Linked DNA regions of Schizosaccharomyces pombe. The gene in region 1 interacts genetically with each later gene. Each region holds a gene or a part of one and is shown in the gene's direction. Other genes may lie near its edges. The genes, in order: clg1, mis4, cek1 and ppk18.

Region 1 (4,129 bases):
CACCCCACTATTCCCCTCAACCACTCCACTCTTCCTCGCTCTTTTTTCTTATTCTCTCTCTCTCTCTTTCATTATCCCATTTAACGATTTCCTCCATTTCCCTCCTTCCACTCTCCACTCAACAAGGTTTGTCTCCCTCTCATGTGCTCCGTTAATGCTCATTCTGGCTCCGACGGCTTTTTGCCTATATACATCAACAAACTTTGCTTGCGTTTTCTCCTTCCTTCCTCCCCATTTCCTCTCTTCCTTTTATTTTTTAATTTCACGCGTTTTCTTCTCTACACTCTTAATTGTTCTTTTGCGCGCCCTTGATTTCGCGCCTTCTTCTTTTCTAGCATCGTTTGTTTTTGTTTTGGCTTTGCTTTGTTATTTTGTTTCCCTTTCCTTTTACTGTGCCTTCACTCTCCTCTTTTAATTTCGTTTTCTCTCTCTCATTTTCCTGAGTATTCATGCTGTCATTGGTTTCCTAATTTTTCATTGGTTTGTTTGTTTACGTTTTCTTCTTTCGCTGCTACAATTGTATTTATGCGCGCATCTTTTTATTTATTTACTCAAGTACATATAGTTATATATATATATATATATATAAAGCATCTGCCTTGCTTTCTTTCTACGGCTTCCCCCCCAACTGCCAATACACTCTTCACTCAGTGCTTTGGTTAGCCCTTATTCAAAAAAGTTTGCGTACTGTATACTGTCTTGAGACTTGAACAACTTTTTTTTTTTTTTTTTTTTTTTTTTCAGCTTACATTTTGTAGTCTGTTTTTCTTTTTCTTTTACTTTTTAATCCTTTTTTTTTTCTTTTTCTCTCTCTCTCTCTCTCTCTGTTTTTTCATTCATCTAATCGCTCATCCCTACTTATCCTTTTATAATTACAAACCCGATTTCTTTACTCGCTCTTCATCTCCCCTTTTTTTTCAGTTTTTGTTGTTTACTGTTATTTTTTACTTTTTTTTTCGTTTCACTCCAAATTGTCTCGAAAAGCTAATTGTTGAATTTTTTTTTCTCAACTTGCTGAAGTAAACATTACCTCCCTTTTTAATCTTTGATTTCTATTTATACATCTTTTCTTATACGACAAAGACATCCACCAGTTGATTTTCTCTTGTCTCTTTAATTTCTTTTTTCCGTCTACTTTTCGTCTATCATACTCAGTTCTTGTTTATTCTCTCCTCTTTAATTGCTCCTTCCATTTCATTTCACTTTCTACTCGATTTTTACTTCTCAAGTTGTTTCTTTATTTAGATAACTTTCAAATTCTCCTCTTTACATACTTATTGTTTGTCTTGCTACGTTTAACTTATTTTTCTTTGATTTTTTTCCTGCTTGTCCCATTGTTTGTTTACCTCGCTCCCAATTTTCCTCACCGGCAATTGCTAATTAAAATCCATAAAGTTATCTAACCGATCTATTACGTTAGATATCTTAATTTGGGTTTAACTTTCTTGCTGAATAATCTTCAACGCTACGCTATTTTTCAGTGCTTAACAAAGTGAAATTTTTTATTCCTAAAAAATTCTCTTTCCTAAGTTGCAAGCATTTTCAACTGCGTTACCAGCTTTTCAGAACCTGCGCACAACCAACCACCGTAAAATTTAGTTTGGAGGGTTCAATCCTATTTTTTTCCTTCTATATTAGCAGTTTTTTTGCAGAAGTCGAGCTTTTTACTAAGCCTCGTCTATTTGCCAGCGAAACAAGCATTCCTTGGTCGGGTTTTGCTAGAAGTGAGTGTTAATAAGTCTTTTTCCTGTCTCTTGGGTAAATTTCTTATTGTTGAGCATTCTTTATCTCTTTTTCATTTTTTTTTATCGTTCTTCCTTTGTATTCTTCTTTCCTTGAAAGGAGTACTCAAGAAATCGATTACAAAACTCGAAAAAGACTTGATTAGGTAGAATAGCAAAGGAGTTAAAAATTTTTTTTTTAATTCTTCAATTTGCTTTCCTTTTCGAAATTCTTCAGCAATGTCGTTTCCTTATCAGCACACTTCACGTTCTCAAGTTCAGCCTCCTTTGGCTGCCCCCGGCTTGAGTATGTTTGCTCCTGTTTCGTCCAGCAATAGTGCAAACTCTGCTTCTTCGGTTGCTGCTTTGTTGAGTCATGCTCCTATGTATGGTCTTGGCCAGCGTCGTCCGTCCTTCTTACCTGGCGTTTCTGTGCCCGATACGCTTTCGGTAAGGTCGGGCTTCTCCATCCCTTCCTCCTCTCATCATCCTTCCGCTGTTCCTTCCCTTCTGTCGCAGCACCGTTTACAGCAACCTCAACCACGTCTCTACCCTTCTGCGCCTCTAAACTATTACTGGCCATCTTATCAGTCGGTTCCATCTGCCGCACCTCCACCACCCTCCCAGCAACGCTATATGCCTGACTCTGCCGTTGCCTATAATCCTAACCAAGATCAATTTGGCAATTCGGTGAATGTATCAGCTGCATGTAACAACGTTTCCGCCCCTTTGATTGCTAACAATTGTGCTCCTTCCTTTTATCAGTCTCGACATCCCGTAGCAGATGTGCCTGTAACCAACAATACCGCCACTACTACCTCCGAGACTGATAATACAATCCCAGGTAATCTTAACATGCCTTCGGTTGCTAACGTTCAACAACGTATTTCTCCTGTCTGCAAAACTAACATGGAGGATCAGGAAGAAACCGTTTATACCGGAGGTGTTGCTGCTAAACTGGATTACAAGATGGATCAAATGGTGGAATACTTGTCTATCATGACTTGTAAGTTGTATGCTCGTTTCCTGAATAATGCTCAAATGCATTCTCTTGCTAACTCTTTACCTGGTCTTGTGTTTTCTTTCCGTAAGGTCGTTACACAAATTTTGACGTCTACGCGTTTACCTCGTGCCTCTTGCTTGCTTGCCTTGTCATACCTTTCCGATCGTCTTGACGCCGCATCTCAAACGACTGATTTTGTAAACCAGTGGACTAAGGAGTCGTTATTCTTCCAAATATGTGCTCTTTTAACGACCGCCTTGATTTTGGCTAATAAGTTTTTGGATGACAATACGTTTACCAATCAATCCTGGTCGCAAGTTACTGGTTTCCGTACTGCCTTGTTGAACAGCTTTGAACAAGACTGGCTAGCTAGCATGTCCTGGAATCTTAGTCCCGGTCCTCGTGGTCAAAAGGCATGGGAGTGGTGGAGTGCTTCTTATTCTTTGTTTACTTCCTCAAACGCTACATACTCTGGTGAACAAAAAACTTATAGCCCTACTACGTTGAGCACCAACGCACCACCATCGCCCTCTTCTGGACGTTCTTGCTCTAATTGCAACTACTATTATCCCTATACACCCGTGGGATATTATCCAGTGTACAATCGCTATGCAATGACTTAGTGATCGTGCTTACTTTCTGCGGGTGTTGTTGCTTGACGGGGTTTGTTTTTCGTTTCCTTGCGCTTATAAACACTTTACGTGTTTTTGTTATTCTTGTAACTTTTTTCTCTTTTCATATTGTATGACGGGAACTTTTGTTTAACCCGTCATATTGTATTCTCTAATCATCTCCGTGATGAATTCGGCTCTCTTGAAATTAATTTGCCGTTTGATCTTGCTTTTCTACTTTCTTATTTTTTCAAATTTTAACAGAGAAAAAAAAAATTTCCCAAAAAAAATTGAAAAGTAGTATACCGAAAAAAAGGAACCAACTTCTTATCAGTATCTGTTTTATTTTTGTCGTTGGACTTTTATTTTGCTTTCTCGTGTGGCTTTGTTATCTATTGGAATATCTTTTGATGCAATTCTGATTTGTTAATACTGCTTGATGTATATACATCCGCTACTACTATAGGGATCGCGGATTTCCTTTTTAAAGTTCGCCTTCAAAAATTAGTAGTCTACTTATACAACTAGCTTCATCAAGAAATACATTGTGAATAGATGAAAAGGCCCATGGATGCTTTGAGTTTATTTTTCTGTTTCATTAGCAAAGATTTTACTTCGGGCATCGTTTTTGTCCTTATTTTGTTTATTTTTTCTCCTTTTGATACTTAAATGAGAAACCTTTGCTTGCTGTTTTCTAAGGATTAAGCATAAAATTTTTTATTGCGATTTTCCAACTCCCAAACTGTTTGTTATGATTACCTAGTTTTATTGCGCATTCGTCGTATGTCTACTAG
Region 2 (7,641 bases), on another chromosome or scaffold:
TACTGAAAAGCGTATTGATATCCTTTGTAGTCAGTTGCAAAGAAGAATCTTTTCGAAGTCGCTCAAAAATTGAAAGAGTAAAATCCAAAGAAAAATTATTAGGATTTTGGAGATGCATTTTCTTATATTTTTCCAAAGTACTCGTCAGATTTTGTGAATTGACGTTTAACAAGATATCCTGGGTATCGCAATAAAGGGATGCGGCACTTTTTAAAGAAAAGTTACAAGTATGGAAACTTCTCCGAAATACGTTCGAGTGGTTATTAATAAAATTTGGAGGTAAAGAATTATCAGGTGTAGATTTACTAGTGAGTGAGACCCTAGATTGTTTGCCATGTTCGAGATCAGAATACAAAGTTTCATCCTTAACATGTTCAATATTGTCCAGTTTATAGTATTCCCTAAAATTTTTTGTAATTACATGAATGCTTATGCCGAAGTTTTCGATACTGAGACATGTCCAATTATTTTCAGACGTGTTTAATTGTCGGTTTGACAAATTGGAACGTTTCCTCATTCTCCGTTCTAAAATTTTTCTCCGAGATGCACTAGTAAGGCCATCTACGTTCACCGGTCCAACGTTTTTTTGTTTTAAAAGGCGAAGTAAGCCATTAGTAGCGGATACAACTTCAGATCCACAGTTGCAAGAAGCTAGTAAAATAAGATCTGAATCACACCAAAAAGAATCGGCGGGTGAGTTAACAAAACTGAGATCAGTGGCATAATACTTCTTTTTAAGAAGGTTTAACACATCAGCTAAAAAGTTTGGAGCACCTTTTGGAATAGGTGGCAGCGCAACCGCATCGAAATGCGCTTTTTTAGGAAATAGATTATGTTTTTCATCCACATACCATGGTTTTTTGCTTGAGACTTCCTCTGGTTGCGAATTAGCGTCATTACTTGAATTATCAGGAACTAAATTTTCAGGAAACTTTTGAGAAGCGAAAGGTCGTTTGTCAAATTTGCTTCGAAAAAAGGAAACACATAGTTTGTTGAAACGTAGATAATTAAAGCGATATGTGGGCATTTTTTAATAAAATATGAAATCTCAGCACAGTCATTAAAAATATAAGAATTAATATAATTGAAGTGTTACCTTATAAAGCCGAAAAAAGAATTTCTCAATGCTGTTCTATCACAGTATAACATGAAGACATTGTCTTCTGTTTGAATAGTAATAGATAAAACTTAGATTAAAGCAACAAAAATATTTAGTATGTTTTAAAACAAGACCGCAAATTATTAGGAGAAAACCAAATATTTAATGACCTTGGCACGTTTTCCTAACCAAGAGACCGATTCTAAATAGTGTTCCACTGTAGAAATACGTAATCACCAATATCCGAAATGTACGAACGTTTCTTATGTCAGCAATACTACATTACGCTATGATACACTACGTTGCGTATCACTATATGTCACATGTTCTAATTATATATCGTACCATTTATGATACGATATGGAAATTAATCTTAATGATAATCTATTAAGATCTATATTATCTGAATACTATAAATAGAGCTACTGCTGAACTCGTTCCTCAGTTCAGTTATGAGCTATATTAGTGATAGGTAACATTATAACCCAGTTAATACAATACCTATACTCAGTTGCTACTTATACAACCTGTGTATTGTAATATAATAGATCACAAGGAAAACTCACCGCAGTTCTACGTATCCTTAAATCAGATACCAAACTGCGTAGCTTACATCTTAATTGCATTTTCCCGTTTCGGTCTATTGCCTTAAACTTGTTTACGCTTTATATATACCGACGTTTCTTTGTTTTTAGATGAATGAATTTAATGATAAATACTTCCCTTTCTTAGCTTTGCAATGTTTTGATGCTTTTCGAGATGACACCTGAAACCTTTAAAAAAGTTAACTCCTCTAATCGAATTATTAAAGGGCTTCAATACACACCATTAGCATCATCAATCCCATTGGAAAATGGTATGCATACAGTTTGAACGCGTCTATTAATTTACATAGGTTTACAAAACGTATTATATCCATCTTCTAAATTTCAAAATGAGCCATTGCAACTTAACTCCGAAGAATCAAGTATTATGCAAAGATATGTGGATATGCTAAATCCTGGCGCAACATTCGTTAACGATTCTGAAACCTTTAATTTTTATAAAAATGCTCTTAGCGCTATGATAACGGAACCTGCAATGCCCGCAATGTAAGTTAAATTTTTTGAGGTTTTTTATCTGACAAATATAAAGGAGGGTGAATGCCAGTCCGGTCCTAGACCAAAAGGTGTGTAACAGTGACTCGTTAAGTGAATTAAATGATTTTACAAAATCTCTGATTCAGCCAAGTATGTTGATGTGTGAACCCAAGGAGAAACCTGATGCTTCTTCTATAAATACAAACCGTTCATCTTCCGACAATGGCTTCTTAACTCCGTCTTCAAGTCCTCGAAGTCCATCATGTTCTCGCGTATTTAACGCTGTTCAATTATGTAGCCCTAAAAAATCTAAAGATGATATTACTACCCCAAAAAAGCGACTTATGGAAGACACTTATTCGCCTCGTGAATCTCCCTCAAAGATCCAGCGGTTGCAGGACGTTTTGTTAAAGCAGTTGCAAGATACCAGATTACTAATTTCTCAAGTTATAGAAGCTGAGAATTCGGAAGATTTTTCATCGAATTCTCTCTTTATTAAACGAGAAGACGATGATGGAAAACACATTTCATCGCACGCAATTGAAAAGCTATATATGGCATTAACCAAGCTTAGTCGTTTGGGAGCTTGTGACAAATTGCTGGAAGAAGGGAGTATAATACTTGTAAAACAAATCCTTGAGAAAGAGTTAAAAGAGCTTCCTGTCGCTTGTTACAGTATAATTAATCTTCATGACAGCCTCACACAATTTCCGAATTTAGACTTTATTTTAAAGACCACTGCTCTTGTTCTTTTTATAATATTTCTGGTCCCCTCCTTTAAAAAGCTTCAAAATGAAGAATCAATTCTTCATTTACTTAATATCTTACATTCCATATTTGAGTACACAGTTCCTGAAGCGATTGATAACATCGTTCAATCAAAAACTTCCGATGCTAGGACTTCTGAAATTCAACATCTATCAGTTTTGTTACAAAAAGTCGCAAATGTATTAAACATCTTATCTAAAGTTGCCCATGAAATTCCCTTGTCGGAAGCTGTGGTCATACGCATTGTATATTTATTTCCCAAAGTCTCTACACTCGACAATTCCTTCAAAACTAAACTTCCTAACTGTAACAGCTCATCCTTCGATTTTCTTAAAGCTCCTTTATTTCAAACGTTACAATATTTATTTCGTCTTTATCCTTATCAGCGAGATTTTATCATTGAAGAATCACTTACAAATTTTTCTCACTTGCCCACTGCTCGTTCGGTCTCAAGGACCTATAGACTCTCTAACGGTAAATCCATACAATACTATTCAACCCTATTTGTACGTTTAATTCAGTCATGCTCCATTCAAAACTTATTCGACTCAGAAATTGTACAATCGGAGAGCAAATCCACTGAAGCTTTACACTCAGGTAACTTAACAGAACATCTGAAAACAGTATGTAATGAACACTAAATAAAAATCAATTTCTAACGTGTAGGTCGAATCAATACTATCCAAGTCTCGACATGAAGAATACCGGATAGCTAATCATATTGTTGCTTATTTGCTTAGTCGTTCTTTAAAACAGAATAAAACGGAGAGTGACAACTCATTTGCAATTTTAACCAAAATCCTTTTAGAAGATTTATTAAACATGCTTTCTTTGCCTGAATGGTGCGGAACCGAAACAATTATTCGGCAATTTGCAATGAATTTAGTTATGACTGTGACTAACGACAAACAAGCAGTTTCTTCAAAGAATGCTGCGCTGGATCTTATAAGTCTCATCGTTAACAAGGTTTTGGCATTGTTTGATCTTTCCCTTTTCGAGAAGCACAATATCCCAGCTCCTACGAATTTCAATGATATAATATCGTTCATTCCCTCAATTACTAGATTAAATGAACTTTCTCAAGTTAGCTTTAACCATTTTTACTTTTTATGCAAAGGTGACATATCTCTGGAAGTAAGTGAAAGTTAATTGCTTGTTTATTATATACTAACTTACAGAACATACTCCCTTATAACTACAATAAATGGTTTTCATTTCTCTTACAGCTTAGAAAAGTATGCAATGACTCCGAAGCTTTAAAAATTATTGATAATTGTATCGATAAGAATATGCAAAAGTCTCAAGAGGGGTTTCAAGGTCCTTCACCATTTAAAGCAGATGAAAATGACGAAGATATTTTCATTATATCCCTTTATCATTCTTCTTTGTTTTTAAATTTAAAGTTTTTTGTCTCGCTCATTATAGGCTTTCTCGATAGTCCTCAAGCTAGTCTTCGAACTAAATGCCTTCGAATCATCAATCAAATGAAAACTATACCTTCTATATTAAGAACACATCCAGAAGTTTTGGCTCAGATAATATCAAAATCGAATGATCAGTCTGCGATAGTTCGAGATACTGTGTTAGACTTACTTGGCACATATATCATGGCATATCGGGAGACAATTCCTCAAATATATGGTTGTATAATTTCTGGAATTTCGGATCCTTCAACAATCGTTCGTAAACGCGCTATAAAGCAACTATGTGAGGTTTATGAAGCTACCGAAGATTTAAATATCCGTGTTGACATAGCTTCAAAACTTTTAACCCGGAGTAATGATGAAGAGGAAACAATCAGTGAATTAAGCCTTGAGGTTTTAGAAAAACTTTGGTTTTCACCCGCAAGCAATGAATTAGATTGTCAAAAAGGCTATGAGCAATTAACTTTCTTAGAAAAGCAGAAGTTAAGAGTTCAGTATTTTCCTATTTTAAAACTATGTGCTGAACCATCAACCGAAAGACACGTCCTGTTGGTAACGTCTCTGAAAACCATGTTGACTTCTAAGGAAGAGATCAATTTGAGTACACTACACACTCAAATTCGACTTCTTCTCTCTTGTCTTTTCAATCAGCTAATAGAAGTTGTAACCGAAGATCAAGTTGATGAATCAACAAAGGGAATTTTATACGAAATAATGAGTACATTGTTTGTTTTTTCACGCGCTTTTCCCTTCCTCTTTGACTTGTCTTATCTACACCTCTTAAAACCCTATTTACGATCTGCTTCAACTATTGAAGAGCAACGTTTTCTTTACTATGTAGTAGCTATTTTTAGACAGGTTTTACCATTTCAAAAAGAAATTTCTGAAAGCTTCCTACGGAGCCTTGAATCTGTGTTACTGCAAAGGCTTACTAAAGCCGGTACTGCAACGTTAATGGAAATAGTTCCTTGTCTTTGCAGCCTATTTACAAGACTTAATGATTATGAAAGGTTAAAGAAAATTGTGGTTTCGTGTCTTAAATCTTTAGAGGAGGCACGACACTCAGAAAACAATTTTCAAAAAATGGTTCGCTTAATAGACCTCATTGGGCTTTTTTCTAGATATGGGGATCTCAATAGAATAAATGATGATTGGAAACATTCACTTGATTTTATTAGTCCTGAGTGTGATGATGCTTACGTTATACTATTAGGTTATTTTCAGAAACTTCTAAAAGATGCGAAAGGTCAGCTGAGAATTCACATAATTGATAACATGAGCAGAATATGTTTAAGAGAAACATCTTTGTTTATATCTCCTCTTATGTTATCAACTTTGGATATGATAATTGCGGAAAATAATGTTAACGAAGTATCTGTTTTGTTTAAATCTTTTCTTGAGCTTTTGGCCGCGGATGAGGATCTTATCTTTGAAGCAGATCAAAAGCTAAGTTTAAAGGGTAAGCAAAACGTTCAGTCCAACAAATCAGTTGATCGAGATATGCTTAAAGGAACTAAGGATAAACAATGGATTGAAGGGTATGTATTTTATAAACAAACTATCACTAATTTAATGCAGAGTCAGTGCATCTTTAATGCAGCATTTCCTTCCCTGTATTCTTGACTCTTGCTTTTCAAAAAATTTAAGGTATTCAATGCTCGGAATTGAAATTCTCAAATGTATTATTCATCAAGGACTAGTAAACCCACGCATGGTATGCCACTTTTTACTTTTTGATTACTAATTAAATTAGTGTTTCTCAACCATAATAGCACTCGAATCCAATGCAATTAAAGAAACCAGAGAAGTAGCAATTTTGCTTCACACTGAATTGCACCGAAGACATGAATCTTTGATAGATGGCTTATATGCTCAATCTGCAGATTTAATATTTTCCCTTCAAAAAACGGAGGAATATCAAACATTTAAGTTAGGCGAATTTTCGCCGTTCCAAAGTGCCTATACCATTGTCTCCGCTGATAAAAGTTCAAAATCTAGGAAAAAATTAATAATGCAAATATTAAAACCTCTTAAACTCGACGGGATTGATTTACCCAGCTTTACAGAAGAAAAAGTTTCATTTGTAAGCTTTTGCTGTGTATGTCTGGCAGGAATTCCATACGTGTCAATAGAGGAACCGTTAATGATCATTTCAACAGTTGATTCGGTGCTCGCGACGATAGGCCCTACTATTACTGGGTGGATGAAAAAACTAGATCATGAACGTTTTAAAATCCTTGCAGGTATCAACTTGTGCAATTTGATATATCTTAAGAGATATATAAAATACGCATTTTCAATTTCAGACTCATCTCGACCTATACGTGAGAAAAAGCCTCTAACTCTTTTGAATAGAGGTTATGTGGATTTAATTACTTCTGATGCTAAGCCAGATATTGTTTCTAAGTTGGTAAGTTAAAGTTCCTTAACCAAATTGCTGACTGTTTTAGGTGATAAAATTGTTTGAAGAAGAAAATATCCTTTCTGGCGAGGATCAAGTTGAAGGGGAACAGCTTACAGTTGTCTAAATGAAAAAAGGGATTAAAAAAAAAATCAAAAAGCTCTCAAGCAGTATATTTCAAAAATATTTATTTTATATGGGTTATCAATATTTTTTTATGAAAAAACAGGTTATCCAATTTGATTTTTACTCACAATAATAGGCAGCAACATTTAAAAGTTCTGAACCATGAATACAACTCGCTCCAAATTTCATTTATGCATTATTTAATACCAATAAGACATTCTTTTCATTTATTGTTTAAATAAGTAACAAGTAAACAGCTTGAGATCCTTTTAATTAGATGTTAAGACATAACTGTTAAATGACACTGCTAGTTCTTTAACTATTAATAATAAGAAACAATCATTTTTAGAATAGTAAAGGAACTTGTATCGTCCCAAATTTTTATTTTTTGAATGTAATATTCAAATCAGGATATTTATATGTTGTCAGAGTATTGAATTTTCAAAGTACATGAGTAAGCACGAAGAGATAAACGTGCTACTACGATTACACTACAACGGCGGTAACCTTTAAAAAAAAAAGAAAAAAAGCTATTTCTAAAACACAGACATTTAAACGATTGAGTGAATGATTTCGCCTATAGTTTTCCATTGGCATCTCGTTAGCGTACTAAACGTCTCAGCTCAGCACAACACTTTACCTTTACCAAACCACCATCAAAAGCCATGGAATCACTACTGGCAGTTCAGGGTCAGGATTTTGTACTCACTGCTTCATCATCATCAGCAGTTCGTGGAATTACTG
Region 3 (7,058 bases), on another chromosome or scaffold:
ATCTAGCAATTCAATGTTAATGTTCTTTTCATCCTGGATACTATGAAATGCTCGACTCATGAGTAGAGTAAGCATGTTTTGGAACTTGAGCAACCATTTGTGCAAATGCGTAGCATCGGAATCATCCGGGAGAACAGAGACATTGCTTTTTGAGAGAGATTTTAATAGCTAACAAAGAATATCTGGTTAGTAACAATCCGCATACTTTTAAAACATTTCCATCCATTATTACGTACATTGCGGAAGTTCACATTCCAAAGTTGGTTTTGGCTATCAGGATCCAAAAACGGAAACGTTAAAATAAATCTTTTAAAGATGAAGCGTAAAACGGGAATTTGGGATTTTTCATAGGGGATCACGGATTTTCCTTTTTCCACAAATGGACTACCGAGATGATCCAAATTGGTGGGTTCGCTCACGAAGTTCAATTCGTCTGCGATCAAAAGAGAGAAAAGTTCCTTCTTCAAATAGTGTCTTTTTAAAGCATCTATCTCTTCTGGAGATGCTGTATCCATGTCGTAAATATCAATTATCCGCTACACGGAATGCTGTAAGAGGGGAGTACCAGTTCGTAAATAATATATGTAATATTTATTTCACCTAGGTCTATACCGACATTTAAGGGACACTCGTTAAAATATTTTTTGACTAGTATACGTTAAAAAGTATAAGATGTGAAGGCTAAGTTAAAATAAGCGAAAGTACGCTAATTAGGTTTATGGTTTCTACACTACCACTCCTTATGTTAAAATGTTAAAAAGGTGCAGAAATCGAAAAAGGTAGGCAAAAGGAAACATTCATTGATGAGAAAACATTCCTTAATAAATAAATTTAATTATGTGATTTTTTGTATACTGCTTGCTCCATTTTTTTTTATATAACTTTGCGGGAGAATGGACCGCTTTCCGTATTCTTTGTTTACACCTCTGAATGAGCAAGGAAATAGTTTAAGATTTCTGTTCTCTGAAAAATTTAGAAACTTTCAAAAAAAAAAAAAAGAAGTAAAATAATAGGAAGTCCAAATTCATATATCTTGTTATATTAGACTTTTTAAAAGAGTAACACAAACTGAATAAAAAATAAACAACATATCATTTACTTTTGTAAACAAGAGATCAAGCGATTCCTAAAAAACGGAAATATCATATTCCAATTAATAATTATTTTTAATTGTAACTACTGTGCTTTTTTATTTTTATTTTTTAAAAACTCAAGACAAGTCCGTCTGCTTTCACTCGATTGAAAAATCAATGATATAGAGATCAGCTGCAATCGCAAAATATTTCCTTTTAAATAGCTTATGTATTCCCACAAGTTGAAATTCTTCTATTATACTTTTCTGTACTTCCCAAGCGATGATGGTATTATTTATAAGTCTGTGTTTTCTAGACATAATAAAAAAAAAGCGCAGCCAATCTAACACGCTTCTGCATAGCAATTGATCCTCTTTCAAACAAAGTGATATCTTTAAACGTTTGCGTGCTAATTTTGCAACCATTTTTTTTTTATAAATGTTGATGTTTACCCCATGTATTTACCCATTTTTTGTGCCCATACATCTATAAATTCCATAGGCATCATACTGTCTATTTATAATCCAGCAGCTAAAACAATTGTTCTTAAATTGTTTATTTTACTTCACATTGTCGATTCAACTTGGCTACTTTACAGCACTCCACCCTAATTCATTTCATTGCTATGAAATCTTCGCCCCGAATACTTATCTAGTATTATACATGCTGTACAAGCATAACTTTATGTTCTGAAGCAGAGAAAAAATTTTTTATTTGTTGACGAATTATGCGGCCAGACTAATGAACCACAATACTAATACTAAGTTGTAAGCCACTTAACTCCTAACCACCACCAAGTACTAAAAATCGTTCTTTTTTTCTAGCTTGATTGTATAGATACTGAGTGGAAATTCTATCATTATTAAAAGAATTGTTTTTGTTTGTTTTAGAATTATCCAGCTGGGTATTTCATACTCTTCGTTTTTCTTTCCTTTGTTTTTTCAGTGACTCAGTTATTTATAGCGCGTTTATTTGTTTTATATAAAAAGTTGTCGAATTAGCATACTTACTGCTCATACTTCTAATGATCCTATCCCTCTATTGAATTTACTGTATGCTGGAGACTCCGTCAGTTGTATATGAAGCATATAAAAAACGAACGCGAAGAAGTCTTCTTGGAAGATGACCAAGCTCAACATTCCCAGGCAGAGCTTCTCAGCTCAAAAGATGAGAACCTTCAACCTTCCATTCCTTTATCTCCCGTTGCATTCGAGCTTGACTTTTCCGGAAACTTTCAATTTATTAGCGATAACTCATCCGAACTTTTGGATATACCCAAAGACAAGATCATTGGGCATTCTGTAGCAGAAGTCCTTGGTACCGATGGATACAATGCGTTTATGAGAGCCGTTAACTGTCTTTTGAAGGATGACTCTCATAGCTATCATGTTCGGTTCCAACATTCAATTAACGCTAATCATGCCAATCAAAACTATTACACCGCTAAAGGAGATCTTCCAAGCGATGAAAAAATTACAAAACCTTTTGATGCTATTGGAATTCTCATTCGTCATCCTGGGTCCGCAATTCCCGCACACACGATGTGGGTTGTGAACCCAGCTACCAATTCCCTTGGTAGTGTATCTCCTCTTGTAACTAAATTATTGGATGTCATCGGTTTCGGTGCCAGTCTTTTAGACAAATATTTATGCGACTTAAGGACTTCCTATCACAAGCATAACAGCTTAGATGCGTTACCACTTCCGACCCCAGAGTTTTGCCAAATATGTGAACGTGAAATACAATCATGGTTTTTCGAGTTGCACTCCAAGTTTTGTCTTAGCACAAGCACCTATGAATCTGTTGTACAGGCTGCTCAGGATTCCTTGCTTTATTTCCGGAGTACCTTACTGGAAATTCAGGAAGGAATGCAGAAAGATTCAAGTCTTGTTCCCGTATACAAAAATGAACCGCTTATTGTTGATGCGGATGATTATTTTTTTACCGATGAGAATAAACAAACATTATCACTATGTTCATTCTTAAGTCAGGTTATGTACTACTTGGAAGTGGCTATCGACATTACTATTCCTCCAGTGAAAATCATTGTGAATTTTGATAAAGTGGATTCTCTTCGTGTTCAGTCTCCGCGGTCAGAAAAAGCTACTATCGAGCTTGATAATTATAACCCGTCCTTAGAAAATTGCTCATCCGCAGTGATTGCTCTCTGGGAGGACATAAAGACAGCAGTTGATACTAAAATTACTGGAGTTTTGCGTCTTCGAAATGCAATCTATTACTCTGAACGTATTCGTTTGGAAATTGACCATCATGTTCAAGAAATTATTGATGATGTCGTATCGAATTTGGTAACAAATCATTCCTCTACTTCTTTAGGACACTTGGAATCTAAATTAGCGCCTTCAATTACCTTTCCTGATGCCTGCGATGCACTCGAGGCAGAGGAATGCATTACTCGACCCGGGAGCGCTACAAATACACCACAATCTGATAGAAGCCTTGATATCAATGATCTTTCAAGATCCTCTTCTTATTCAAGGCATCTTAGCCATGTTTCTCTTAGTAATCCAGATTTTGCAATTGGTTCGCCTATGAGTCAAGATAGTTCAAATTATTCTTCTCCGTTACATAGAAGAAAAGCATCTGATTCCAATTTCTCCGATCCTCGTTTTGATGATTTAAAGTATCTTTCTCCAAATTCGAGTCCAAGATTTGTGGCTTCTGATGGTCCGAATCGCCCAGCATCTAACGGTCGTTCGTCTTTGTTTTCTCGTGGAAGGGCCAGCAACCTTGGAGATGTGGGACTACGTCTACCATCACCATCACCTCGTATACATACGATTGTACCCAACTCTGCCCCTGAGCATCCTTCTATCAATGACTACAAAATATTGAAGCCGATTAGCAAAGGTGCGTTTGGCTCTGTGTATCTGGCTCAGAAAAGAACTACTGGTGATTATTTTGCTATTAAAATATTAAAAAAATCGAATATGATAGCAAAGAATCAAGTTATCAATGTTAGAGCTGAACGTGCTATTCTCATGTCTCAAGGCGAATCACCATTTGTTGCCAAGTTGTATTACACCTTTCAATCAAAAGACTACCTTTATTTAGTTATGGAATATCTTAACGGCGGAGACTGTGGTTCACTTCTGAAAACCATGGGTGTATTAGATTTGGATTGGATTCGAACTTATATAGCTGAAACTGTTCTTTGTCTAGGTGATCTTCATGATCGTGGAATAATTCATCGTGATATCAAACCTGAAAACCTACTCATATCACAGAACGGACATTTAAAGCTCACAGATTTCGGTTTGAGTCGGGTCGGTTATATGAAAAGACACAGGAGAAAACAGAGTTCTTCAATTCCTGTACTTGACTTGAGAGATCGCTCTAGTGCTATATCTGATTTATCACTTAGTACTGCTTCATCGGTACTAGAAGCACAGTCTTTGATAACACCAGAGCGTCCCAAACGGCCTTCATTAAATGAAAAGCTTCTTTCTTTAGATGGTACTAGTATTCGACTTGCTGGACAAAGTTTCAATTACGAGAACAGCGCTGAGGATTCTCCCACTGCAACAAATACTCCTACTTCTCAGGTAGACGAATCCAACATTTTCCGTAGCACAGATTCGCCTCGAGTTCAACCGTTTTTTGAAAATAAAGATCCCTCTAAGCGATTTATTGGTACACCTGATTATATAGCACCCGAAGTTATCCTTGGAAATCCTGGTATTAAAGCGAGTGATTGGTGGTCCTTGGGTTGCGTTGTTTTTGAGTTTTTATTTGGATACCCCCCGTTTAACGCGGAAACGCCTGACCAAGTCTTTCAAAATATTCTTGCTAGGCGCATCAATTGGCCTGCCGAAGTTTTTACTGCTGAAAGTAGTGTTGCTTTGGATTTGATTGATCGCCTTCTATGTATGAATCCGGCAAATAGGCTTGGTGCCAACGGAGTAGAGGAGATAAAAGCACATCCTTTTTTCAAGTCTGTTAACTGGGATACTATCTTAGAAGAGGACCCTCCATTTGTACCAAAACCTTTTTCTCCTGAAGACACTGTGTATTTTGATTCTAGGGGACTTAAAGGATTTGATTTCAGTGAATATTACAATCAACCTACGGTGACAGAAGCACAAAAATTGGAAGAAGAAAGACCTGCATCCTCTATACCCCAGCATGTGTCTGGTAATCGTAAAGGTCGTTTACGAAGCAATACGATTAGTACTCCTGAATTTGGAAGTTTTACATATCGAAACTTGGATTTTCTTAATAAAGCTAACCGGAATACTATTCAAAAACTTAGAAAGGAGCATATGGCTGTTAAATCAGCAAAGACTTCTGTTGATGACACCTTTAGTCAGTACATGAGTAGGTTTAAAGCCAAACTTTCAACTTCTCAAAGTGTAGGTCCTGTTAAGTCTTCGCGTCGAGCTTCAATGGCTGACTATGAGGCATCCACCACGACAAGAGTGCAAGATATTACTACAGATTCAATTGATTCAATTGATGATTTTGATTCTCTGAAAGAAGGTCGGATGCTTTCATTTTTTGATAATTTAGCGTTAGAAGATCATAAGGGTGTTTCAAGCACTATGTCAGCATCACAATCGCAATCAAGCATGCACACGGCGTTACCAGACGTTACAGAGGGTACCTCATCAGATGAACATACTACAATTCAGAAGGGCAGGATTGACAACTTACAAGCTCAGAGTTTAACTCATAAGCGAAATGCCATTTCTTATCCAGGGTTATTTCAGCTTGACCGTTTACAAATGATAATTCCTAAGGATGAAATTGAACTTGCGGAGATCTTGAAAAAAATTTTTCCAAAGTTAACGCTTGTTCTAATAGATGATCCATGGAGCATTCTTAAGAAGCTTTTGCAGAACGAGCAATTTAACGTCGTATTCTTACATTTTGGAAATGATAAAGTATCTTCTTCCCGATTAATGTATTCAGTGCGAACCAGTGCTACTATAAATTCAAGGGTGCCGTTTGTATACATTTGCGAGGACGAGACTTGCATTCCGACTGATTTACAATCTGATGGAGTTTTGTTGAAACCCATTACTTGTGAGAACATTGAAAGCTGTCTACGAAAGTTAGATGTTTGGCACTCTTGAATTGAATCTTACATACTAAATGCCAGATCAGCTTCATATACTGTTTCTTTCCTTTCATTTTATAACTTCCCATGCACATTCTTTAAAAAATTAACTATTTTTTCTTTTGACCAATGTGGCATTTTTATCCTTCTTTAAGTATTTATTTCAGTGCGTTGCATTCCTTAACTTGAACCCGCTGTTTATTCATGGACATTTGCATTTTTTATAAGTTTTCACACGTGAAGAACATTATGAAAATATTTGTATACTAATTTACCATAACCGTTGTTTTACTTTATACGGATCTCGTTTTGTTTACCCTCATTTCTTTAGTTTTTTTTTACTTATTTAAATCTACAAATAAAATATATCATTCGGAAATAACAAGCTCAAACTGTTTGATAAATACAATACTATAATAAAGTATCTTCTTTTTTATACATATATATATATATATTGATGATTTTCGGGTACTGAGAATGCAAACGAATAAGGCAGTAAACCATGTTTCACTATTCCATACTTCATTTATTTTTTTCAGGTCTCATAAAAAGGATAGTGCACCACAGTGTGGCAAATAATATTACTAAAATAAAGAATTTCTTGTGCCAATGACAAATGCTGGGTTTTACTTTTAGCAAGCATTGTAATTTTATGGCAGAATGGCAAAGTTGTCTGTAAATGACTTGAATGACTTCTTAAGTCCTGGAGCTGTTTGCATAAAGCCTGCCCAAGTTAAAAAGCAGGAATCCAAGGTAAGATGCATTGGAAGAGCAGCAAGTATAACATCTGTCACATCTCTATTTTTTTTGTTCAACCAACTAACATGATAGAATGACATTCGTATAGACGGGGATGCTTACTATGAAGTAACTAAGGATACTGGAGAGACCTCCGAACTTGGGAT
Region 4 (6,994 bases), on another chromosome or scaffold:
ATGGTCGCTTAGGTGATTGGTATGCGATGAAAATTTAACTTGTGGTTTGATGAAATATATCTGATGGTTTGTTGTTTGTATGATCGTGGTGACCGCTGAATAATATAAACTTCTCTATGTTCATTCGAATTATCGATTAGCTAAACTGAGCTCAAGGCTTTTTCATGTGCTTTTTTTGTTCTCGTTCACAGCGGTTATCGGTTATTTATTTTTTACGAGCATAACTGCATCTCAAGAATCTTTTATATTTCTGCCCGCTATGTTAGTAAAGCAGAGTATCTAAGAAACCTGACACTGTTATGGTCGTCTATTTTTTTGAATTCGTGATTCTTTAACATCTCGTAATTTCATTTCGAAATATAATGAATCTTTAGCTTATAAGAAAAGTCATGTGATTAATGTTTTCAAGTAAGTTGTAGCTAAGAATAACTAATATTGTATTGTGTAAGTTGTTAGATTATACAGTAATATTGCACTATTATGAATACGACAATGATGGAGACGTTAATTTCAAGTTGTTAAAGAAGAAGTTGGTGTAAGTTTTCCATGTGCTTGAATTATCGAGCAATTCCTAATTTAACCGTTTTCCACACCACTGTTCTTCCCATGCTAACCTAAAACTAATAAACAGTTGCCAGGGATGATAATATATTTTTTATTGCAAATTAGTATCAGCCGATGCGTTTTCTCTAAAAATGGGTTTTACCATGTATGCAATAAAATGATCAACTTGTGATGAGTGAGTTATTCTCCCTACCAAAATTTTCGTTACGATATGGAAAATTTAGAAAAAACATAGTAAAGGAAATCGTTTTGCTTTTCGAATGAATTTCGGGGGTTCAACTCTAAAATGGAACTTTTCTTTGTGGTAGTGTACACGCTATACACTCTTTTAGTCAACTGTCAAGTAATCGAATTTGGAAATATGATCTTAACATAGAGTATAATGTATTCTTTTAAGATATACGGAAATTTATTAGAACGCTGTGCATGAGAGCGTGGGAGTGTAAAATCCGGTACAGAAAACGGTTTCTCTGATGACCCATCCATTACCAATTTTATTCAGCAGGTACTAATGAAAAGCGACAGAAATTATGATTTTGGAAAAGAATAGCAGTTATGACCTACTTATCTATTAACAAATTGGTAACTCCTTATGCATCAATAATACATATGCATTCCTTACCAACACAGCTGTGAGCATATTGAATGATGGGGTGTCTAAACAAAGCAACTCGAATATCCTATTTTCAACACTATGAATGGGCGCATTCATCCCTATTCCAACAGATCTGTAAACATTAGCCTGTGAACAAATTAGTAGTGCGAATCGGAGGAATAGTTGGGCTGCAAGGAGGGTATCCCTGCTTTAAAGAGGGATTGAAGAAGAACAGGTTTTAATCCTAACTGCCAAAATATCAATCCTCCATCTATAATTGGTACTAAGCGGATTAAGCGCATACGTGCATGCGCGCAGTCGCACTTTTGTTTGAGACCTTTCCGCGCAAAATCATGTTACAGAAATGAAAGCAGAATAACACATCATGGAAGACATTTCCAAAAAAAATCCGCATTTCTACAGCTTGCATTACATTGTCTCGCTTTCCTTTCAATCACCAACCTTTTTTCATCTTGCAATGAAAATTCATAAACCGAAGTATAGCGATCAACGATATATAATTATATAATTATTGCCATCGAAATCGTTATTTAAGACATCGGCTCGCGATCTCTCCCCTTAGTGAATCCTGATCAAGGGATAAGTAAGCACAGGTATCAATCGTCCCAGGGTAACAATGATTAGCCTCTACGCACTGCTCACTCATATAAATATTGACACAGTCATCAAGAGCCACCCACGTTCATAAATTGGGTGTTTGATTAGAATATCAATTGGTTACCGTATTGTCTATGTTTTTTTAGTCGATAGATTGGGTTTTATGAAATAACGAAACGCTAATTGTATTCGAATGGTTTTACTTGTCGCACATTAGGATCAAAATCTGAATGGAGTTATAAAGTTAATGGTAATGCAAGAACGCAATTCCAACGAGGATAACAAAGTAAATCACGGAATAGACAACATTTATGTCTTGGAGTTAGATTTAGACGGATCTGTGCTGTTTGCAAGTACAAACTTCTCACAGATTACCGGGTAAGTGCAGTGGAATAGCGGGCGATGTTACGAAATTTCTCTGTGTTGTTGGCAGAAGGATACCATTGCTTGCTAGAATATTTATATTGTACATTTAATTTGTATCTTTCTTTTAACGATTCGGTTGGTATGACTTTGCAGATTACGCAAAAATAGCCATTGAATAAGGCTTCAATTGCCTTGATCTGTAAGTCATACGTATAATACTTAAATCTTCTATTTGCTGCCGACCTGTTTTAGTTCTTTTAAGCTGGATTGGCCAAGCTATGGCTGATACTCCTTGGGTCGCCTCTGTCCTTCAACTTTTGAAATCTTGCTCTTTTTCAATTTATTGCTAGGTCTTTTACTAACCAAGTTGCATAGAATTAGTTCGTTAGAACTTACTGGCAAACCTGCAGCTCTTCTGTCATCCGACCAGGAGATATTCAACGCAGCCATTGAACAGCTTCTTGACGATGACTCCCACAGTGTTAAAATTCATACCGTGATTTCGAAGCTGCCCTCCTTGGAGGAAAATGTCTTTGTTCAGGATGAGGAAATGGAGCTGCAATCAAAGTCTGTCGAATTGGATTGCGTTGGTGTCCTCATTCGTGATCCCTTAACCAGCCGACCCTCTCATACATTATGGGTTTTGCAACCTTTGAAGCCCACGCGAATCACTCGTCAGGAAATAGGCCAGCAACTCACAGAAACTCTAGGTTTTGGAGCTCAGTTACTGGCCCAACATCTTGAAAAGCTTCAAACCGTTCCTTCCACCGATAGTCTTCCTCCCTTTGAAACAGTACTTTGCAGGGTTTGCGATCATGAAATTCAAAATTGGTACTTTGAGCATCATACTGAACTTTGTCTTCTCATTCACCATGCTGAAGCACGTGCTCAAGAAGCAAATGACCTTCTTAACGAACAAAGAAATGCTTTACAAAGTTTGTTGGATTCTTTGGACGATCAGATAGAACCAGATGTATCATATTTGGGAGTTCCTCTCGCCGCCGTCCTTCCTTCCTCTATTACTTCCTCCGCGAAGTCGAATTCCCGGTCATCGTTGTCCCAAAAAATTAGAAATTACATTAGTAACATGCTGTTTGATGCCATAAGTTATACAGATAGTTGTTTAGCCATCCATTTACCTTTCATACCAGAATCCACTACCAGGGAAGACAATCAACCATTTAGTGAAATACGCTTATTATCACCAGCTAGTGAGGTTTTCAATGCAAAAACTCTTTCATGGTGCTTACCACATATTGATGACCCTGGGTTGCAATTGATGTTTGAAAACACGGATGCCTTAGTAAAAAAAAAGCTTGATGCCATTAATCGTCTCAGCAACATCATCTATTATTCTGAGCGTGTTCGTTGTGAAATTGAAGATCAAGTGCAGACCATTATTGAACAATCCATTCAAGTTGATGGTTATGACGAACCTCTCAGTACTACGACTCCTACACTTATTGAACCAATTCAAGAAACCCTTATGACACAATCTCCTATTATTGAATGCGAACCATTTAATACAGTTAAGCCTTCTGTTTCTCCTGAGGAAGTGCACGATATTTCACAGTTCAACCATAGGAATGATCCGCCGATTACTGCTGCTAGTGTTGATTCATCCAATTCTTTTTCAGTCCACCGTTCCTCTACAAATCACAGTAGTACTAATAGTGGATCTCCCAACCTAAGCCGTCGCAACAACCTTGCAATCCCCATTGCTTCTAGAAGAAAATCTGTGAGTGCAGTTAATACTTTATATGGAGTTGGTTCTTCCTATACCTCTGAAAGTTTTCCCTTTAGTAAACTTACTGTCCCAGTTGAGCGTAATTCTTTCCGTGAAACAGAGTCACCAAAACCATTTTTGAGTCGCCAGATTGGCATATCGACACTGTCATCCAACATTAGCAGTGGTAAAGGGACTCCTTCTATTCAAGATTACGAAATTATAAAGCCTATTAGTAAAGGAACCTTCGGCACTGTTTACCTTTCCCGTAAAAATACCACTGGGGAGATTTACGCCATTAAGGTCTTAAGAAAAGTTGACATGATTTCAAAAAATCAGGTCGCTAATGTGAAAGCTGAAAGGGCTGTGCTTATGGCGCAAGAAGAATCTGCATTTGTTGCAAAATTGTATTATGCCTTTCAAAGTAGGGATTACCTCTATCTTGTTATGGAATTCATGAATGGAGGGGATTGTGCATCCCTATTAAAATCGTTGTACACTATACCGGAATCGTGGGCAAAAATTTACATTGCTGAAGTTGCATTAGGTCTTGAGCATTTACATAGGCTTGGTATAATTCATCGTGACATTAAACCGGACAATATCCTTATGAGTATTACTGGACATCTGAAATTAGCGGATTTCGGCTTAAGTCAGTTAGGTTTAACTACACGGCAATTACGTTTACAAAAGGGTAAAAATAATATTTTGTCACCACCCAGCTTTCAATCTCCTACTGCGTTGGGTGATCCCGGTGATAATATTGCCAGTTCTCCCTTGATTTTACCTACCAGTGTTAGTGCTTTTTCGTATGATGAAAAATCGCAAAAGCAAAAAACAGAGTTGGCTACATTTACTACGTATAAAGAGGATGATACCACTACTACTACTCGTACGAGCATAGATAGCATCTCTAGTAAATATTTAGAAAGTCCAGTTGACTCTCAGAAAGTCAATCGGACTCCTAATTTACAATCGGTTCCTTTTTTTAGACAACCTGATGCTCCTAAAAGATTCGTTGGTACTCCTGACTATTTAGCACCTGAAACTCTTCGCGGAAGTACACAGGATGATATGGTTGATTGGTGGGCTCTTGGCTGTGTGTTGTTTGAGTTTCTGTTTGGTTATCCACCTTTTCACGCAGAGACCCCGGAAAAGGTATTTGAAAATATTTTGGCTAATAACATTGCATGGCCCGATTTAGAAATGTATCCTTGTTCCGAGGAAGCATTAGACTTGATTAATGGGTTTCTACAGCCAAATCCGGAGAGACGACTTGGGTTTTCGGATATTAATGAAATCAAAGAACATCCTTTTTTTAATGGGATTAATTGGGATGACATTTTTTCACACGAGGCTCCTTTTATACCTGCACCAGAAACCCCACTTGATACTGCATATTTTGATAGTCGTGGAGCTGGGGCTGCAGAATCTAACATGAGCTCATCTGTAAATAGCGGAGAGGAAGTTTCTAAGGATAATAATGTTTCTCAGGAAAGAGGTTCACAATTCCTTCGTTCATCTCATGGTCGCAGTCGTGAGAGAAGTACGTCAGCTCGTAGAAGCCGCCGATTTAGCGAAGCTAACTCAGAGTTTGACGAGTTTGGTCCCTTTTCTTATAAAAATTTAAGCGTTTTGGAAAGAGCTAATCGAAATGCTATTGAAAAAATAAGATCAGAAATAGCTGGCAAATTACATATATCCCCTCCGGATCCACACATTGGATACACCCCTGGTTCCGATATGCCTTCTGCAAAACTTTATGATCAGCAACTAACTTTAAGTCCCTCTTTAATGACAAACCAGGGCTCTAATTTTTCTTCCACTGATTCAACACCTAGGAAGTCCATTAACAGTTCTGATGTTGAATCTCGTTCTAAAACTGATGGCCCGAAGTCAATGCACGATTTGATTAAGCAACTGCATATGCGAAAGCATAGCTCTCATACGAATCAATCAACTGGTTCTTCTGAAAGTGATGATCTTTTTAATCTTGATCTTCCGATTTCGAATTTGGAAACTTCATATCCGTTTAAAATTGAGGAGGGTCAAGCATCTCCTTTGTCTTCTCCACTCTCAAAGACCCCTCCTTTTTTCTCTTCTTCAGTCCCCTTAAAGGCTTTGATATGTGTCAGCAAGCTGAATTTGTTTTCAGAGCTGATCAAGTTACTAAAATCATACAAGTTTCAAGTATCTATTGTTACCGATGAGGACAAAATGTTAAGAACTTTAATGGCTGATGAGAAGTTTTCGATCATATTTCTGCAATTAGATTTAACTCGTGTTTCTGGTGTTTCTATATTAAAGATTGTTCGATCAAGTAATTGTGCTAATCGAAATACGCCAGCTATAGCTTTGACACCTACCAGAATCGATATTAATGCTGCTATTCCTCGCATGTTTGATGGACGGTTATACTTGCCTATCAACGCGTTCCTTTTACGTGGTTATATAGCCCGGCTTTGCAATAAATGAGTTCAAACGTTTGTTAATCGTGATTGCTCATTTTTTGTTGTTACCATACTCTCTTTAATTTTTTCCTTTTTGTTTCTCGAATGTATAATAATTATAATAGTAATAATATTAATAACACTAATTTTTTTGAAAAAAGTTTACTTTTGTCAACTTACAAGACTTTTTTGGATTTATAACTTTTATTTTTACTGAGGTTTTTTCTACAGGATATGTAACAGTTAAAGTAATGAAAAAATAATAAGCCCAAAATAGCTCATCTTCTCCTGAACGACATTTCAATCCTATAAAGACTAACCTGAAACCGGTTTAGCAAATATTATAGAACCAGGTAACGTGAAAGTACAACAGTACATATCCTAGTTGTTTAGTTAGTTACATTAAAAGTGCTATATAAAGAAGGATATTACCTTGTTGGGAGCAACTTTTCGGACATAATAAAAGTCAACTTCTTCAGGAGAAAAACGATACCCCAACGAAGCGTATATCCGCTAAAAAAACTTGGTTAGTAAATTTTCATTTAAAGTAAGCATTTCATACATTTATAAGATCTTCCTCAGGATCGGGAAATCTACAAAAGCAGTGAACATGAACTTTTGGAAGAGAGCGGTCTTTAAACAAGTACTCCAATCCATAATAACAACCTTTGAAAG

Evidence for each region.
Region 2: of clg1 (region 1) and mis4, a mutation in one rescues a mutant of the other (synthetic rescue), as found in Schizosaccharomyces pombe (one study listed by BioGRID).
Region 3: of clg1 (region 1) and cek1, changing one suppresses a phenotype caused by changing the other (phenotypic suppression), as found in Schizosaccharomyces pombe (one study listed by BioGRID).
Region 4: of clg1 (region 1) and ppk18, changing one suppresses a phenotype caused by changing the other (phenotypic suppression), as found in Schizosaccharomyces pombe (one study listed by BioGRID).

Annotation. Positions count from the first base shown.
Region 1 is NC_003423.3:1,745,259-1,749,387, reverse strand, and holds clg1 (cyclin Clg1), read left to right. Parts: upstream 1-1,571; 5' UTR 1,572-1,961; coding exon 1,962-3,347; 3' UTR 3,348-3,611; downstream 3,612-4,129.
Region 2 is NC_003424.3:391,095-398,735, reverse strand, and holds mis4 (adherin Mis4), read left to right. Parts: upstream 1-1,796; 5' UTR 1,797-1,846; coding exon 1,847-1,955; exon of another isoform or gene 1,956-1,994; coding exon 1,995-2,190; intron 2,191-2,233; coding exon 2,234-3,569; intron 3,570-3,612; coding exon 3,613-4,080; intron 4,081-4,124; coding exon 4,125-5,908; exon of another isoform or gene 5,909-5,948; coding exon 5,949-6,084; exon of another isoform or gene 6,085-6,123; coding exon 6,124-6,780; exon of another isoform or gene 6,781-6,820; coding exon 6,821-6,898; 3' UTR 6,899-7,108; downstream 7,109-7,641. Other genes in the region: ATP synthase complex assembly protein atp25, read right to left, coding at 1-1,027; pre1 (proteasome core particle subunit beta 4), read left to right, coding at 7,563-7,641. UniProt on the Schizosaccharomyces pombe protein: Plays a structural role in chromatin. Chromatid cohesion molecule required for equal sister chromatid separation in anaphase. May form a stable link between chromatids in S phase that is split rather than removed in anaphase.
Region 3 is NC_003421.2:1,747,744-1,754,801, reverse strand, and holds cek1 (serine/threonine protein kinase Cek1), read left to right. Parts: upstream 1-1,858; 5' UTR 1,859-2,152; coding exon 2,153-6,169; 3' UTR 6,170-6,540; downstream 6,541-7,058. Other genes in the region: SPOM_SPCC1450.12 (uncharacterized protein), read right to left, coding at 1-168, 237-515; nar1 (iron hydrogenase), read left to right, coding at 6,814-6,906, 6,985-7,058. UniProt on the Schizosaccharomyces pombe protein: May facilitate the progression of anaphase through direct or indirect interaction with the cut8 protein.
Region 4 is NC_003424.3:3,975,720-3,982,713, reverse strand, and holds ppk18 (serine/threonine protein kinase Ppk18), read left to right. Parts: upstream 1-1,858; 5' UTR 1,859-2,024; coding exon 2,025-2,155; exon of another isoform or gene 2,156-2,200; intron 2,201-2,518; coding exon 2,519-6,344; 3' UTR 6,345-6,462; downstream 6,463-6,994. Other genes in the region: SPOM_SPAPB18E9.04C (uncharacterized protein), read left to right, coding at 1-12; tRNA (guanine) methyltransferase Trm5, read right to left, coding at 6,635-6,700, 6,752-6,832, 6,882-6,994.